Linked DNA regions of Arabidopsis thaliana. The protein of the gene in region 1 purifies or fractionates together with the protein of each later gene. This does not show direct contact. Each region holds a gene or a part of one and is shown in the gene's direction. Other genes may lie near its edges.

Region 1 (8,824 bases):
CCAACTGCGCAGACAATATGTAAGTTAGCTGCATTTACATAAGATGTCAATCGTCTACAAACAGGGTATTTCTCCAAATATAGAGCAATCACACATCAACCATACAGAACGCCATGAATTAAATATACCATCTATCCAGTGCATATGTAGCTTATGAGAGTGTTCTGTTGATTTCTTGTCACCTCCCTCTGATGATGTATCACCTCCAATGTCAAATATGACTGCAACACGATTCCCATTCACCTCATAGACCTCTCCACGTTGTCCACTAGATAATGGCCTGTAGGTATAGAAATTTTGGTTAAAGACAAACCCTAGGGCATTTACAATCCTTCATCCATAATATTTAGCATGCCATGGAAGTTTATAACTTCCAGAGCAATGAGTTCAAAATGTGTTCCTAAAAGATCAAATGTTACATTTGCAGGCATGTCAAATTGCTGAGAAAACCATGGATAGTGATGATAATGGTAAGCACGCAAAAACAAGTCATTTAGTTAAGCAAAGGTAATGCGAGTTGCACTGTTCACAAATAAATGAATAAGTCCTATAGATAACAATTGTGGCAGCAGTTTCATACACATCCAATCCTATACCAGAACTACTCAAATTACTACTAATATGAATAGGCAGAGCAAGCAGAGATCAAGTCAAATAATATGAGACAGAGTCATAAAAGATATTAGAGCGTAATATTCTTCAGCAAGGTTAGAGAATAATTATCACACAAGTGAATCAGTAAACTACCTGTGCTTTGCATCAGCCTTCTTAGAAGGTCCAACATATTTTACACGATCTCCTGCAAAAAGCGTAAACACAAATAGAAATGAGGAAAAGTGAAAAAATTGACCACACAAAGAGAACTTAGCAGTCTGACAAGTAGAAGAGGAAAGAGTGAAAGGCTAAGATAGAAAGACAATACCAGGAAAATTATGACTAGATAGAATACAAAATTACTAAATCAAACTTATTTAGCAAACTGATACATTCAAGTGTACCTAGCACTTGTAATGATGAAGATGCCTTCCAGAGCCTTGATATTGATGATTACCTTTCTTTGCCGGTCGCCTGGCTTTATCAGAATGCTCAACAGCTGCTGCTTCGCAAGCTTCACCATGTAGTTCTTCTGCTACTAGCTGCCACAATTTAGAGGAGGTAAGCAAATTTCAGCAATTTCTGAAACTCAATTTAATTGGAAGTTCAAAAAAGGAACAATGCAAAGAGTCGCATGTAGAACCAAGAAACAGCATTCAAACGGCAGGAATGGTGAAACCTTCTAATTCATGCATAGTAACTCTAATAACAAGTTCATACAAATAAGATAAATCAAGAATCAGAAAACTTATATGACAGGGTCCCAAGATCACATTGTCCACGGGGTATCGCAAAAAGAAAAAGAAATACCATGGTATTACCAACTAAATTAGGAAAAGAACAATCAGTACAGACTAAAATTTCTGAATCTCAATTAATGCAATCATACCTTTTCGAACTCTTCAAGTTTTGGCACAATTTTCTTGATAGCTTCCTCAGAAACCTCGAGACAAGCTTCCTCACTGTCACTCCCATCTGCTTTCGCTTCAGAATCCTCTTCGCTCTGAGCACTAGAATCTTCCTCAGCATCAGACTCTGTCGTGGATTCATCTGCTTCCGCTTCTGCGTTCTCACCATCAGATTCAGATTCTTCATTGTAGTCATCAGCAAAATCCTGATCCAGAATTAAAAAATATTACATAAACACCAAAAAGAACGAAAGAAAAATGGTGGCATGTTATAGGCAAATTACTCATAAGAATCTCACATATGGGGCAAGAACGCTGCTGTCAAGAACCAACAGGGGAACTTGTACATCTCGAGCAAGTGCTCGTACCAACCTCTCCCGGTAAAGCTCAGTACCTGAATAAAATTCAAATTTCTTATTGGTCATCTAACATTTCCTCAATATTTTTACTTGATAACAGAAGAGCAACATCAAATCCTGGTCTGCCATTTTTATTCTATAGTCAATAACAAACCTGGAACACTCTGGAGCAATATTCTTCCACTTGAAGAATCTAAACGGGCACCATATATGGAAGCGGCATTCTTTTGTCTTATATGTGAGGTAACACATTCCACCAAAATATCTTTCGTGTGGTCGCTGTGAAAAGATAATGAGCAGAATCCATAAGCAGAAATGGAGAAAGAAACACAACAAGCGAGAAAAAAAAACATGTTGTAGATTATTACTGGATGTAGTAAGGGAAGGTCTCCCAAGAAAGCTGTATTTTTTCCCAAGGTTGGATTCTCCGTAAGAACTCGTTTTTGAATCTTTCTCGTCTATTAACGAAAGGTGACTCCTTCTTTTTGCATTCACTAGCAAGCTTCTCATTATTGAGCCATTCTATTTGGTCTTGTTCTCCAAGTTGAGCATGAGAATCCAAATGCCCAACACCGTTATTACTTTTCTCCTTCCCGGTTTTTCCATCATCTACACCATTCTCTTTGTTCAAAGAGATATGTTTATCCTCACTAGCATTCCTTCCATCACCCTCAGAACTAAAACTACGCAACTGGCTATTCTTCAAAATACTTAAATGATTTCCCGAGGCAATAGTACCACCGCGGGGAGAAAATGAACCAAGTAGAGACTTTCTTGTCAAATTTTCACTATTGGTTAATTTATTTGTGAATCCACAATATCTGGAAACCGTATAGTCACGAACGACTGGCCTAACTAAGTACTTGGCTTGCTGCAATACCAAACCCCATCTCTGGTTCCTCTTTAATGCCCTTGTATACATCACAAAGTCCCTTCTCTTCCAATATAACTACAAAAAAAAAAACAGAGATCATTGATTTAGAATCACTTTCAGGGTCCATTTCTTGTACTATCCAACCTAAATGCATTGCAACATGTAATTGCACCATTAAAAAAAAAAAAAAACGAGATCAATATCAACGCAAAACATACTATAGTAACTCGGAAAGAAACATAGATTCTATACAATTTATTTCGACTAGAGGAATAACAACACACTTCAGGGAATTAATTGATTAAGAACAGACATCAATTAAAATGAACGATTATGACGCATAACGGAAAATCCAATGTAACAACGAATATGAGGCATCGATATAGAAATGATGATATATTCAGCTTTTGTCATCCATAACTATTACAAAACACGAACCGTTTAACAGAGATGGACAACAAAACTGGTTCTATTCATCCCCCAAGCTCTAAGAATCAGGCTTGGTGCAAAGAGGAGATGTAATTAGGAACGAGATAGGGTGAAGAAGAGAGAGAAAATCCCGACAGAGGAGAGAGAGATAAAGACCGATCTAAAGTCTGTAGGTTCTTCTTCTGAAGCTGAAGCTGGGTTCGAAGTTCAGCTTCGTTGATGCAGTGTTGTCGTTTTGACGCAAAATTGCTACTTGCCTTCCTATGGATATGGGCCTAACTATAAAGGCCCACTAAACATATAAGAGTCGGTATTTTCCTGACAAAAAAGCCCTAACAAGTTGTCGGATTTACAATCGTACCCCTATTTTTAAGCCGCGCTTATCTCGAACCTATACCTGTAGAGAGGAAATAAGCATTTGGGGGAAATCAATCGAAAACCCTAGGAGAGATAAAAACAAAAATCTAGACGGAGATTTATGGCGACAGCGAATCCTGGCCGTGGAGGTGGTAGAAGAGGCGGTGGAGCTATGGATGACGATAAGTTGGTCTTCGAGACTACCGATGGAATTGAGCCCATCACGAGCTTCAATGATATGGGCATTAAGGAAGATGTGCTTCGCGGTGTCTACGAATATGGATTCGAGAAGCCTTCCGCGATTCAGCAGAGGGCTGTTATGCCGATTCTTCAAGGACGTGATGTTATTGCTCAAGCTCAGTCCGGTACCGGGAAGACATCTATGATTGCTCTCTCCGTTTGTCAAGTCGTTGATACTTCTTCTAGAGAGTATGTTTTCTGTTCCTTTAGCTGGATTAAACCCTTCATTTCAATTTTGAACTTTACTTGCTTTGCTCGGATTGTTCTCTAACCTAAATCATTAGGTTTTGTTTCTTATCGATTTCACAAATTTGGTGGGATTTGTTTGTCTGACTTGTAGAATAGATGAACGAATTATGATTCATTAATGTTCAATCAAAATGACAATGAAAATTTGTGATAGTTATTAGCTTTTCGGTTAGAGTGATTGAGTAATACTTTCTTTTAGGCTGCAAGATCTTTTTATATGTGTACTCATGTATTTGGTATCTCGGACTGCAGGGTTCAGGCCTTGATATTATCCCCAACAAGAGAGCTGGCTACACAAACAGAGAAGACGATACAAGCTATTGGATTACATGCCAATATTCAGGCACATGCTTGCATCGGTGGGAATAGTGTTGGAGAAGACATCAGGAAGCTGGAGCATGGTGTTCATGTTGTGTCTGGGACACCTGGTCGTGTCTGTGACATGATAAAGAGGAGAAGTCTTCGTACCAGAGCTATTAAACTTCTGATTCTTGATGAATCAGATGAAATGCTGAGCAGAGGGTTCAAGGACCAGATCTATGATGTTTACAGATATCTTCCACCAGATCTTCAGGTGCAATTTCACTGCTCAATATTATGTGTTGGCTAACTTCTAGTTTCTTTGGATGTTATTGCATTAGCTTTCTTATTTTATGGATTGGCTTCTTGAACTCTATGTGGATTGAGAGAATTATAAGTTGTTAAAAACCTTTTAGCCACTGTTAAGTTGCTTGAATGTCTTATGTGTAGATTTGGTAGCTATTATCTGTATTATGAACAGCTAAATTCCACTCTATAATAGTTCAATCCTAATACGTTTTTTTTGTAGGTTTGCTTGGTTTCTGCAACTCTTCCTCACGAGATTTTGGAGATGACATCCAAGTTTATGACAGAACCAGTGAAGATACTTGTGAAGCGTGATGAGTTGACTCTTGAAGTATGTTTCTTCTTATGCTTCTGTATGCTCGTTCATGTTTACTTTTACAGTAGGTTGACACTCATATTCTTCATTGGCTATCTTTTTGTGTACAATCTTTTCAGGGAATCAAACAATTTTTTGTTGCTGTTGAGAAGGAAGAGTGGAAATTTGATACACTCTGTGATCTTTATGACACGCTTACTATCACTCAAGCTGTTATCTTCTGCAATACTAAACGAAAGGTAATTGTGGTTCTCATGCAACTGTATCTCAAACTTGTTAACATTAAGCTTCTAGCACTGCTATCTGAACTTGATTTGCAATCTTGTAATTGCTCAAAAATTCATACTATCTTGTGAATATATGTATTTCTTTATTTCTAAAAGAAATTAACAATATAAGTCCACTGCGCTAGAGTACTTGCAACCTGTACTCACCTGCAGATATCTATTAGATTGCATTGGCTTTTAAAACCTTTTTCAATGTTTCTTGTAATTAGGGTTCTTGAATTATGGTTCCTTTTCTATATTTTACTCAACTCTAACTCCGCATTTGTTATAGGTGGATTATCTTAGTGAGAAAATGAGAAGTCACAACTTCACTGTCTCATCAATGCATGGAGACATGCCTCAGAAGGAGAGAGACGCCATCATGAATGAGTTTCGGTCAGGTGATAGTCGTGTTTTGATAACAACAGATGTATGGGCACGTGGGATTGATGTGCAACAAGTAAGTCATTACTTATCCGCTATATTTTGTCTAGATAACAATGCGCGGAATAAATTCAATCTCTGTTATTGAGGTCTCAGATTATGTTCCATTCTCTTATGGTAAAGGTGAATTGACATGACAATCTTTATTTAACAGGTTTCTCTTGTTATCAATTATGATCTCCCCAACAACCGTGAGCTCTACATCCATCGTATTGGGCGGTCTGGTCGATTCGGGCGTAAGGTAAGAAACTTTTTCTAATCTCTGCTTCTGAGCTTAATTTCTTAGCCTGGAGATACTAGATGGATATCTTTTAACCAATTTTGCGGTTATCTTTCTAGGGTGTTGCAATCAACTTTGTTAAAAGCGACGACATCAAGATTCTCAGAGACATTGAGCAGTACTACAGTACCCAGATTGATGAGATGCCAATGAATGTAGCTGATCTTATCTAAAAGAGCTTGTCTGAGATTTTTGTGCTTTCAGCGGGGAAGTGTCTGGATGAAAAAGTATTGTTGAGCGCTTCTGTCAAATTATTGCACTATCTTAACGGTGTATTTCCTTTGATGTTTCTGTGGGCTCTTTTGAACAAACTTAAACTCGCGTGTGGTAAATGTTTAATGACTTGAGAAGCGATTTAGGTTTAGGGTTTGGACCGTTTGGTTTTTCGTTTCCTCGTAATTGATTCTGGGGGCTTTGATTGTGGTTTGTGGGTCAAAACTCTCAACTATCACTACTTGTAAGACTTTTGCTCGACAGTTGAAACGGTTCATTGTTATCTTATTTCGTAAAGCTTGGATCATTGCAAAAATCAATCATTTGCAAAAGCAAAGCAAGTTGATGAAATTACTGGACATGACGTCGAGGTTTTTCGTATCGTGTGTTTCATTTGACGGAGTCAGGTGTCCTCGCTCGTTGGTTGATGGGTTGGGTGAAATTGATGAACGAAACCCAAAACCGGGTTAGGACCGAATTAGATTCACTAACTTAACAACACCAGGACCAATAACCGGAACTTAATAAATAAACGACCGTGGTTTTGTTTGTTTATTGGTAGTCAGCGACACGGAACTCATTAACTTTACTCTTCTCACTGGTCAATCGTCGGAGATAATCGGGTGATCGGCGATGGAGAATACGGACGTCTTCTTGGGGCTGCATGATTTCCTGGAGCGGATGCGCAAACCCTCCGCCGGCGATTTCGTCAAATCCATTAAAAGGTCCCATTTCTCCCTCTTTTGATGCAGATCCGGATATATGTGTGTGTTTCTATGTACGATCTTCCTCTTAGCTTAAGTGGATGTGCTTCTTAGCGGTTTACGTTTTTAAGTCCATTTTCAGTTGATGATGATACTATTTGAGCAAAATTCGTACTGATTTGAGATTTCTAATCATTTATTTATGCTTCTTCAATTGCTGTTACTGGGGAAGACAATTGGATCTTGTTAATAGGGTATAACAATTAGAAATTATTGATTTCATACTGGAATGGTTTGTTTATTGAGCATAGAAGTATTGTGGATAATGCGTGGTTAAGGATGTTTTTTGGTTGATGTTGCAGTTTCATTGTTTCATTCTCGAACAATGCACCAGACCCGGAAAAAGATTGTGCTATGGTTCAGGAGTTCTTTTCTAAGATGGAGGCTGCTTTCAGGGCTCATCCACTTTGGTCTGGTTGTTCTGAGGAGGAATTGGATAGTGCTGGAGATGTGAGTATCAGTATTCTTCTTTTTCTGTCTGTGAATTGTTTTCATCTTTGTACCATAATCATTGCTCGTTTGTATACACAGGGCCTGGAGAAGTATGTTATGACAAAGCTATTTACTCGGGTGTTTGCTTCAAACACTGAGGAGGTTATAGCTGATGAGAAGCTATTTCAGAAGATGTCATTGGTTCAACAATTCATTTCTCCCGAGAATTTGGATATACAACCAACTTTTCAAAATGAATCGTCATGGCTGGTAAGCCGATCTAGTCAAAAGCTAGCTCCCGGTAGTGTTTCCTCTTTTTGTTAGTGTTCTTACTTGTGATCCTTTCTCTCCTTTTGGCAGCTAGCTCAAAAAGAGCTCCAGAAGATAAACATGTACAAAGCTCCTCGTGATAAGCTTGTGTGTATCCTTAACTGTTGCAAAGTGATTAATAACTTACTGCTAAATGCTTCAATTGCTTCAAACGAGAATGCACCTGGAGCAGACGAATTTCTTCCTGTTTTGATATATGTAACAATAAAGGTATTGGGAACGATTGAACAACTTATGCATACTGGTATCTGAAGTCGTATTTTTGTTGTACATGATTATGTTTCGAATGTGCAAGAACATCTACTAGTGCTAATTCTGTTCTTTCTTTTTGCAGGCTAACCCTCCACAACTTCACTCAAACTTGTTGTATATACAAAGGTATAGGCGTGAATCTAAACTTGTTGGTGAAGCTGCGTACTTCTTCACAAACATACTCTCTGCAGAGTCTTTCATCTCAAATATTGATGCAAAATCTATTTCACTGGATGAAGCTGAGTTTGAAAAGAACATGGAATCTGCACGGGCACGAATTTCTGGTTTGGACAGCCAGACTTATCAAACTGGTCATGGCTCTGCACCACCCCCTCGTGATGAGTCCACTCTTCAGAAAACTCAAAGTCTGAATCCCAAGAGGGAAAACACTCTTTTCCAATCAAAATCGTCTGATAGTCTTTCTGGGACCAACGAATTACTGAATATAAACAGTGAAACACCAATGAAGAAAGCTGAATCCATTTCAGATTTGGAAAATAAGGGTGCGACGCTTCTGAAGGATACCGAGCCAAGCAAAGTCTTTCAAGAATATCCTTACATATTTGCCAGTGCTGGTGATTTGAGGATAGGAGATGTTGAAGGCTTGTTAAATAGTTATAAACAGCTCGTTTTCAAATATGTGTGCCTTACCAAAGGATTGGGTGATGGAACATCTTTAGCTCCATCCAGTTCACCCTTGCAAGCGTCGTCCGGTTTTAATACGTCTAAGGAATCTGAGGATCATAGAAGATCGTCTTCAGATGTACAAATGACAAAGGAAACTGACAGGAGTGTTGATGATTTGATCCGAGCTCTACATGGTGAAGGGGAAGATGTTAACAATCTGTCAGATGTAAAACATGAAGAATATGGCGCAATGTTGGTAGAGGGAAAGGATGAAGAACGTGATT
Region 2 (5,402 bases), about 14 Mb from region 1:
CATTACCAGAAAGCACATCTCCTGAGAGAGTAAACACATACAAATCCAAACTCAGCCAATCTGTTCTTAAGCTCAAATAGTAGCTGAGACCTCTACACTTAGATGATTAGATCAAATTACTTTACCTATAATAATCGAAAATATAATCATACAACCAAAAGTAGCAACCATCGTAGCAATCTGTACAGCGATGGATCCTGTTTTACCAAACGACTCTTTCATAACTCCGGCGTAAGTAGTTGATTCTCCGGCGAGAGTTGATTTCATCAGAAATCCAACGGAAATTGTGGAAAGCCAAGCTATGATCGTGATAATCAAAAACGCTGGAACTATTCCAAGAACTTTAAACGCCGCCGGCATCGACATTATTCCGGCTCCGATTATACTCGTTGACACGTTGAAAACGATGCCGGAGGTTGATGATCCATGGTTCTCAGACGAAGAAGGTTCTTGCTTCGGCAAGAGATGAGTTTTGATCTGTGGTGTCATTTTTCTAACCGCCGGAGAAACGTAAGAATTTGCCGGCGGGAAGAAGCTTTCCTTTTTTGTAGTTGTTATGAGGAATCGGCTTCATATAGCCACACGGTTAATAGCGAAAAGTACATAAATACCCTTTGAAGATTGGGGATATATGCCTTGACCGTTTGGGGCAAAATCGAGAAAATGATATTTGACCATAGGTAAACCTGACAGGCTGGGCAAATCATGTCAGTGAGATCACCAAATGATCTTTCGTCACGTACTTAAAAACATCACGAAAATAATAATTTTGTTCAAGAGAGGAAATTACAGCTAAAATATGATGAACAATCATAATCATATTATAGACAGAAGTGAATTATTAACAAAAAAACCCCAAAGAATTATACAAAAAAATCCAAAATAAAATGGGTCCGTCCAACACTAATGAATGTGTGCACTTGGATTTCTTCACGAAGAATGTATCTAGACGAAAAAGTGGCCAAATGTGTATCATCGCTTCTCATCTCATATAAGTTGTCCAAAAAAGAAAAAAACTCCTAAATAATTTAAAATTTTCGTGGATATAATAAAATCCAATATATAATCATATCATTGGCGGCCTCAAAGATGGCTCACGTGTAATAAACTAACTTTAGAGCAGACGGTTCGAGACTTTTCATCAAGAAAACGAGAGGGCAGCGAATGCGGAATGTCGAATGAATAATTGAAAACGTGATAAACGAAACAATATAAGAATAATTAAACACTGTCTTCTAAAGTTATTTTTATTTAATCATTTCATATGAATCATATTGAAGTTACTCAGTTAACATTATAGAATGTGACTGATAGCAACATTAATATTGCCGCAGAAATCCCTCGTTGCAAAGTTACAGTTTATTTTAGATCATCTCTGTGTGTAAAGGAGAAGCTTCAGTCAACAACAACAGAGCTTGGGTCAAACTCTCTGCTCAGCTCAGAGTCTCCCAAACAGAATGCTATGGGCCAAGACACTAAGCCCAATACCATTCAACATGTCGAGAAGCCCAACAACAGAAGATTACCTCTGCAACTCACAAAAGACAAAAAAATTACCGATTACCCATGAAATGATTTGCTAAAAAATTGAACATTTCATAGATTTGTAACGGTTGTTATTTAGCCATTGTTGTTATTCATGTGTTTGATATTAAAACCGATATTGTTGTTACTCATGTGTTTGATATTAAAACATACTAGGTTTTTACCAGTTTGTGCATTTTGGAACATAGGTTTGTTTAGTGGAAACTGTCAGCAATATTTGTCGTGATTTGAGAACTATAATAATGGCTAATGAAGAATGTAGAAGGACGAGCAGATATAACAGGAAATCGTTTTACTTGATAATTCATGTAAGCTTTTCTTCAATCCCAACTGATAAACCTGATCCCATATTTTCTAAGCTTGGTTAAAGCGACCCAATAACAAAGTACGGAAAAACTTTTGATTGGGCTAACTTGGGCTTTTCAAAACAAAGCCCATATTTTAAATAGACAAATTTGGCCCACTTTAGTCGGTTGAAAAATCTTTTCCCCTATCGAAGCGTGTCTCTGATTTTTCGCTCTCGATCGATTCTCGTCTCTCTCTCTTTCATCGCAGCGAATAATCCAAATCGAAAGCAATTTCTCTCGACGAAGAAAAGAGAAGCAATCGGAGTCTGTGGAGGTAAAGAAGTACACGATCAAATTTCAAGTCAGAGTTTCGGGGAAAAAAAAGGAATGGGGGATCATCTGGTGAGAGCTGAGGAATTCGAGAAGAAAGCTGAGAAAAAGCTCAATGGATGGGGAATATTCGGATCTAAGTACGAGGATGCTGCTGATCTGCTCGAAAAAGCAGCTAATTCCTATAAGCTCGCCAAATCATGTAATTTCCATAAATAAAATTTCTTTGCTTTTGATTATTGTTTCATCGGATTGGTGTCGTGTTTTTTTTTATTGTTGTTCTTTGTGATGATGAGGAAGAAAAAAAAGGTGAAATTTGAAACGTTTGATCTTAGGTTTATCAGTTGCGGTGATTTGTCTATGGTCATGTGAGAAGTAGAATTAGTATCTGGGTTTATATTAGGTCTATTTTGATCTGTAAGAAATTTATGGTTGATAATTTCATACGAAAACATTTTAAATCGGAGATTCATCATTCTGATTCCTTGATATTGGTTTCTGGCCTTCTAGCAAGTCATTGATAAGTGGCACAATTATAGTACCTAATTTGGGTTCTATTTGGCTGAGTTTAATAGGTTTCATGTTCTTTTCTGATATTTGTTTAATTCTCCAACGCTATCTTCTTACTTATGTGTTGCATTTGTGATTGTTCAGGGGATCAAGCTGGAAAAGCTTATCTAAAACTTGCCGACTGTCACTTAAAGGTTAATTCTTTGGCAACACATATATATGATACTGGACTAATGTGTGGATTGTTTGATAACATTGATTTGCATGATTGCATCTGCAGTCAGATAGCAAACATGATGCTGCTAACGCCTATGCTGAGGCTGCTAAATGCTACAAGAAAGTTGACACTAATGGTATGTATAAAGCTACTTTTGTAATTGTCATCTCTGTAATGCAAGAGTGATTATGAATTCTTATGTGTTTTCATGCGTCCTAATATTATATGCAGAGGCTGCGTCTTGCCTAGAGCGAGCGGTGAATATATTTTGTGAGATAGGAAGGCTCAACATGGCTGCAAGATATTACAAGGTACCACTTGTCTCTTTTGAGCATGAATTAGATATTATTCTTTTAGTACGGATACTGAGAAGATAGTTTTATTGGGGCACTTCTTCTGTATTTCCTCCATGGTTCCTGTTTCTTTATGCATGTTCAGTCGGATTCAGATTGTCTTTTTCCTTTTCTAAACTAAAGTAAGCATGGTGCTGACTTGCTGTATTTGGACTAATTTGTACATTAATGGTTTTTTACTTTTGACAGGAAATTGCTGAGTATTATGAATCTGATCAGAAGTTCGAGCAGGCTATTGCTTACTTTGAAAAGGCAGCTGAATTCTTTCAGAATGAAGAAGTGACCACTTCTGCAAACCAGTGCAATCTAAAGGTTGCGCAATATGCCGCCCAGCTGGAGCAGTAAGATTTTCGGCACATTACCTTTCTTTTTGCTTTCTCATCCCTTAGCATTGAAGTGCTTATAGTACTCAGATGGAACCCTGTTAAAATCGAATTGTCAATCCACAAACTTGTCATTGTATGGAATTGTGATGTTCTCTATGCAGTATGCATGAGCACAGCAATTATAGCCTTTTCTCTACTTTGGGACCGATTGATTGATAATAGGCTTGTTGTTGTATCTTTGGTAGGTATGAGAAGGCAATCAAGATTTATGAAGACATAGCACGCCATTCACTCAACAATAACTTGCTCAAGTATGGAGTTAAGGGCCATCTTCTCACTGCTGGCATGTGCCACTTATGCAAAGCCGATGTTGTTTCCATCACTAACGCTCTGGAGAAGTATCAGGTTCTTCTTCTTCCACAACAAACACCCGTAACATAAACATTCTGGTGTGGTCCTTTGAGCAACTATGACATGTTTTCTAACTTCTACTTTCTTGCAGGATCTGGATCCAACTTTTACTGGAACACGGGAATGCAAGTTCTTAGCGGTAAAGTTTAAACTTCCGTTTTTTCAAGAAGTTGTGGAGCAGCTTACATAAAGTATGTTAAGTTTTGTACATTTATTCATATGAACAGGACCTTGCTTCTGCTATCGATGAAGAAGACATCGCAAAGTTCACAGATGTTGTCAAGGAGTTTGATAGCATGACTCCACTGGTATGGGCTGTAAACCATATACAGCTATTTGAATAAAATCTCTCTTTAACTCTACCTGGTTCTTGATCATGGAATTGGTGTTAATGCAGGATTCATGGAAGACAACCATGTTGTTGAGGGTGAAGGAGAAGCTCAAGGCCAAGGAGCTAGAGGAGGATGACCTTACATAGACATATTTATCCAGAGCGTTGCTTTTTATTCATTCCCGGGTTGTATTGTCACTATGTCCGTTACTTCATGTCCGACTCTTCTTTGATTTTATTGTGTCTGGTTTTGAGTTTTAAAGTTTCTTAAGAGGTTTGGTCAAATTGGGTTTGTTTGGTATCGACGTCTACAATTGTTCTCTGCGTCTCGTCACTTCATTTATGGGAACTACTCAAGTCTGGAGTTTTTTTTATATTGGTTAAACATCTGTGGAGAGTCTTCTTCGTTCAGCGATTATTTGATGCATCGAGAGGATCATGTCTCGATTATTTGTTTGCTTTTACGTCTACATCTATCTAATAAACGTGTGCTTTTTCTTCCTGTTAACGACAATTTGTAGTGTTTTGATTCATGTTTTCTTGCTCTATATATCTTTGATTGCACGCTTTTATGAAAAATAAACATTTGGGCCAGCAAGATTGCACATTACATGGAAAAAATATTCTTACATACATATATCTTGAGAAATGAACACATATACACCAATAAATTGTGAAAGGAACCACTAAACAAAGAGATTGAGGACAGACAATATACTAACACCAATTCTCGTTGTCATCGACCATGACAAGCAAAGCAATGATAAAAGCATAATCAACCTCTGGATTTACTCTCACCTTAAAGTTATATTTCCCTTTGCAGAAACTTCCCCATGTAAACTTATGTGTTACCTGCAATATAAGGATTTCAATCCTTCACCAATGTATAAAAATTGCAAATTTCTTAATAAGTATGGGTTTTTAACTTTTACCCCTACCCCGGCGATGAGAGCATCCGCTTTGAAAACTTTGAATGAGATATTGGAGTATCCTCCTGAAGCATGAAAATCACAAGTGTTTGTCTTCTTGACATTGTTGTTCTCCGGCAAGAAAACATCCACGGATGTTTTCAGTGAAACCGCTTGAGATTGT
Region 3 (4,557 bases), about 14 Mb from region 1:
GGTTTGAGTTTTATGTACATAACAATTGGCTCTGTATATAGATTTGGTGAAACCGCATACGATTTTATTCTTCCAAGCTTTACTTGATTGAAGGAAAATGTATTCTTGATTGGAACAATGTATATACAAAAAGGATTTTTTTTTGGTTATAACACTAATTTCTACAGAGAATCAAACTGCAATTCGATTACGTTTATTAAAATTTCAAATCAGAATGTTGATTATAGGACAGATATAACAAATGCAAGATGGTTCAGCTTACATGGTCATTTCAAGGTTACAGAACCGGATTTCTCCATTTAATTTAAAGACTTATACATTTAATTATTAATATTTAGTAACTTTAATTTTATAGAGACAATATAGAAAATTATGCAATGGAGATGCTTTAAAAGTATTAGGTGCCAGAGTTAAAAAAAAAAAAAAAGTATTAGGTGCCTTGTCGTCACCAGATTCCATTGGATTTTACGACTTTTTGTTAAACTCACAAGTCGCTAGCTTGTGGTTTAAGCAATCTTTTTTTTTTTATATAAAATTTACATATATTAAAAATTTTATGTGGTTTTTTTTTACATAATAGTTAATGATGCATTAAATTTAAGCAATTTTAATGATGCATTGATTTTATTAATTCCCCTTGCTCAAAATACTTTCTATGGTGTGATTAACACAAATTATATTATTATTCTTTTAGAAATTTTTGCTTGTAAATGCTAGTTTTGATTGCATTATTATTCTTTTTTCTTTTACGTCATTTACGAGAATTTTCAATTTTGTTTTATCAAAAATTTCTAATTGAATATTTGATGTTGCACATAAACTGACCGTGATACATGTGCTTGTTCTGTATATAGATTTGTTGAAATAACACTAGAGTATGCTACCAATGTTACGGATCACGGTCTCCAAGCAATTGGTAAAGGATGCAAAGAATTAAAACATCTTGAAATACTAAACTGTCCTGTTAGTAAAACAGGTCTTATAGAAGCAGGCGAGAGCTCTTCTTCCATTAGATATCTTTACGCATCAGGTAATAAAGATGGAAAGGAAGGAGGAGTGCAATCTTTTGCACAAAATAATGATAATATATTTTCTTTTCATTTGTTGTTAAGATTCTCCGAGATCTTCTCGAGATCTTTTTTGGAAATACGATAAGATAGGCTGAATAATTCTTATTCTGAAATTTTTTGGTAATGCGAAACCTTTGTTTTATATGTTCAAGAAGAAAAGAAATATTAAGAATTTTTTTTTTGTTCAGTCACACAACTTTAGAACAAAATTATGTTAATAATTTTCTTCATTTTAAATCCAAAACTTCAAAAGTTAGAAAACATATGAAGTAAAATAAAATAAAATGTGCTAAGCTATAAATTGATTTTAGTTTACATAACAAATTCTAATTGAAACTTATTTTTTTATATCGTCAAAAAACAACAACTAAATTCTGAAAAAATATCAAAAACTCCAATTTGGAAAGTATAAATTACAAACTAACTTGTTTTATTTTATGTTTTAATATAATAGTTTAGTTGGTTTAATAATAGTAAGTGTTATTTTATTATTTTTTAAAAGGGAAGGGTTTAAAAACCCACCAAAAAATCCCTTAAATGGATGCTTAAAAATCTCTGGTCGCGGGCTTAGCCCCAGTAGACTAGTTAGATCACTGTGTGGTCTGGGCATTGAGTTATCAAAGAAAAAAAGGGAAGGGTTTAAAAACCCACCAAAAAAGTTGAGGGTTTTGTACATGTTTTTTGTAAAAGGTGAGGGTTTTTTTTACCCACTTTTCATAGAGCTGAGGAACTTGATAAGATATCAAACAACAAGAGTCTCCAACTCAAGCAGAGACTTCAATCTCTCACAACAACACTGCAGCTGTTTCAGGCCCAAAAGGAGACACGAAGCCCATCTCTCATTCATCGGAACTCTGCAATACTCAAAACAGAGAACCATCACGCGAGCCGCTTCAGCTACCATCGCTCGCCGCCAACTCTTGTTGTTGTTTGATATCACTTTCTCTTCTTCAAGCAGTTGCTACTACTTTCAGAAGAAAGCTGAGAAGAAGCTTAACAGACGGAGAAGATTCGACACTAAGTACGAGGATGCTGCTGATCTGCTCGAGAAAGCACGTGATTCCTATAAGCTTGCCAAATCATGTAATTTCCATAAATAATAATCAGCCGGCCTTGATTTTTGTTTCATCTGATTGATTTGTGATGATGATGAGGAAGAAAAGGTGAAACTTGAGACTTTTGATTGATCTTTGGTTTAGCAATTGTGGTGATCCTTCCATGGTGTTGTGAGAAGTTGATTTTAGGCCTCTTTGATATGTGGGAATTATAAATTGGATACTCAACATTTAGATTACTCGATAATGATGGTTTTTGGCCTTATAGTAAAGTCATTGATAAGTATCTTCTTGCTTATGTGTTTGATTTGTGATTCTTCAGGGGATCAAGCTGGAATAGCTTATCTAAAACTTGCCGATTGTCACTTAAAGGCAAATTCTTTGGCAAACACATATATGATAATGGACGAATGTATGGATCATGTAGCAACAGCTTTTTAGATTTTAATTGACATATATGTACTACAGGACTGATTATCAACTCTTGTGTGTTTTCCTTTCGCTATGCATGTTTATCGCGTCCAAATATAACCATGACCTTATTATATGCAGAGGCTGCATCTTGTCTAGAGAGAGCGGCGAATATATTTTGTGAGATAGATAGTAAGGCTCAACATGGCTGCAAGATATTACAATGTACTACATGTCTCTTTTGAGTATGAATTAGATACTGTTACTCTTTTAGTACGGATAGTGAGAAGATAGTTTTATTGAGGGGGAGGCACTTCTTCAGCATCTTCTCCATGGTTCGTGTTGTTTATGCATGTTGGATCCTGTCGGATTTGTTTCTTTTTTTCTACAGTATATATAGTAAGCTTGGTACTGACTTTCTGTATTTGTACTAATGTGTACATTGTCATTTACTTTTGACAGGAAATTGCTGAGTATTATGAATCTGATGAGATGTTCGAGCAAGCTATTGCTTACTATGAAACGGCAGCTGAATTCTTTCAAATAGAAGAAGTGACCACCTCTGCAAACCAGTGCAATCTAAAGGTTGCACAATATGCTTCCCAGCTAGAGCAGTAAGATTTTCGGCACCTGACCTTTTTTTGGCTTTCTCATCCTCTGGTATTGACGTACTTACAGTACTGAGATGGGACCATGTTAAAATCGAATTTTCAAACCACAAATTTGACATTGTTTGGAATAATGTTGTTGTTCTCTACACATGAGCACATGGATTATAGCCCCTTCTCTACTTTGGGGCGGATTGATTGATTGATAATAGGCTTGCTGTTGTATCTTTGATAGGTATGAGAAGGCAATCCAGATTTATGAAGACACAGGCACGCCATTCACTCAACAATAAGTTGCTTAAGTATGGAGTTAAAGGCCATCTTCTCACTGCTGGCATGTGCCACTTATGCAAAGCTGATGTTGTTTCCATCACTAATGCACTGGAGAAATATCAGGTTCTTCTTCTTCCACAGCAAACAGCCTTAACATCAGCATCCTGGCGTGGTCCTTTGAGTAACTATGACATGTGTTCTAACTTGTACTTTCTTGCAGGATCTGGATCCGACTTTTTCAGGAACACGGGAATGCAAGTTCTTAGCGGTAAAGTTTAAACTCTGGTGTTGTAAGAAATTGGGGAGTAGCTTACATAAAGTATGTTAAGTGTTGTACATTTATTCTCATGAACAGGACCTTGCTTCTGCTATCGATGAAGAAGACATTGCAAAGTTCACAGACGTTTCCAAGGAAATTGATAGCGTGAGTCCACTGGTATGGGCAGTAAACCACATGCAACTATTTGGATGTAAACTCTGTCTGGTTCTTGATCATGACAACAATGTTGTTGAGGGTAAAAGAGAAGTTCAAGGCCAGGGAGCTGGAGGAGGATGCAAGCTTTACTTGATTGAAGGAAAATGTATTCTTGATTGGAACAATGTATATACAAAAAGGATTTATAACTACACTAATTTCTAGAGAAAATCAAACTGCAATTCGATAACGTTTATTGAAATTTCAAATCAGAATGTGGATTATATGCCAGATATAAATGCAAGATGGTTCAGCTTACATGGCCATTGCAATAACCTTATTTCTAGAATACATAAGCTGTTTTCTCCTACGGCCATAAAGAGTCTATAGTTTTGAAGACAGGGCAGTCTTGTGGTCGAGAGCAATCATCACTTTTCCAATTGCCTTCCTGTCTTTGAGGTCCCCGAATGCAAGATTGGCCTGTAATCAAAACGGTAAGTGTTTAATTACATGTTTTGAGTTTTGATGTCATGAAGATGAGTTAATGTTTTCACCTGGGAGAGGCTATAGGTATGAGAGATGTGAATAGTGATCAATCCTCGGGAAAGCCATGACAATAACTCTTTGATGGAATCTTCAAGGACATTGGGCTGATGGATCCTGTAGCTACCCCAGTAAAGACCATGAACCGTCCAGTTCTGCACCAATTGGTTACTACAACTTAT

What was found.
Region 2: the proteins of EIF4A-III (region 1) and ALPHA-SNAP2 fractionate together in Arabidopsis thaliana (co-fractionation; one large-scale study listed by BioGRID). This does not show direct contact.
Region 3: the proteins of EIF4A-III (region 1) and ALPHA-SNAP1 fractionate together in Arabidopsis thaliana (co-fractionation; one large-scale study listed by BioGRID). This does not show direct contact.

Annotation. Positions count from the first base shown.
Region 1 is NC_003074.8:6,860,148-6,868,971, forward strand, and holds EIF4A-III (eukaryotic initiation factor 4A-III), read left to right. Parts: upstream 1-3,513; 5' UTR 3,514-3,642; coding exon 3,643-3,950; intron 3,951-4,262; coding exon 4,263-4,584; intron 4,585-4,839; coding exon 4,840-4,947; intron 4,948-5,051; coding exon 5,052-5,171; intron 5,172-5,490; coding exon 5,491-5,658; intron 5,659-5,796; coding exon 5,797-5,883; intron 5,884-5,981; coding exon 5,982-6,095; 3' UTR 6,096-6,499; downstream 6,500-8,824. Other genes in the region: AT3G19740 (P-loop containing nucleoside triphosphate hydrolases superfamily protein), read right to left, coding at 1-4, 129-280, 748-799, 1,052-1,136, 1,484-1,708, 1,802-1,896, 2,016-2,140, 2,230-2,783; VPS9A (Vacuolar sorting protein 9 (VPS9) domain-containing protein), read left to right, coding at 6,769-6,860, 7,202-7,349, 7,431-7,601, 7,692-7,871, 7,996-8,824.
Region 2 is NC_003074.8:20,845,174-20,850,575, reverse strand, and holds ALPHA-SNAP2 (alpha-soluble NSF attachment protein 2), read left to right. Parts: upstream 1-1,880; 5' UTR 1,881-2,219; coding exon 2,220-2,364; intron 2,365-2,816; coding exon 2,817-2,866; intron 2,867-2,952; coding exon 2,953-3,025; intron 3,026-3,120; coding exon 3,121-3,200; intron 3,201-3,431; coding exon 3,432-3,583; intron 3,584-3,813; coding exon 3,814-3,973; intron 3,974-4,070; coding exon 4,071-4,118; intron 4,119-4,206; coding exon 4,207-4,287; intron 4,288-4,376; coding exon 4,377-4,457; 3' UTR 4,458-4,902; downstream 4,903-5,402. Other genes in the region: AT3G56200 (Transmembrane amino acid transporter family protein), read right to left, coding at 1-21, 126-489; AT3G56180 (LURP-one-like protein (DUF567)), read right to left, coding at 5,028-5,162, 5,249-5,402.
Region 3 is NC_003074.8:20,928,813-20,933,369, forward strand, and holds ALPHA-SNAP1 (alpha-soluble NSF attachment protein 1), read left to right. Parts: upstream 1-1,744; coding exon 1,745-2,153; intron 2,154-2,447; coding exon 2,448-2,548; intron 2,549-2,998; coding exon 2,999-3,150; intron 3,151-3,171; exon of another isoform or gene 3,172-3,389; coding exon 3,390-3,540; intron 3,541-3,637; coding exon 3,638-3,685; intron 3,686-3,772; coding exon 3,773-4,057; downstream 4,058-4,557. Other genes in the region: AT3G56460 (GroES-like zinc-binding alcohol dehydrogenase family protein), read right to left, coding at 4,217-4,312, 4,387-4,530.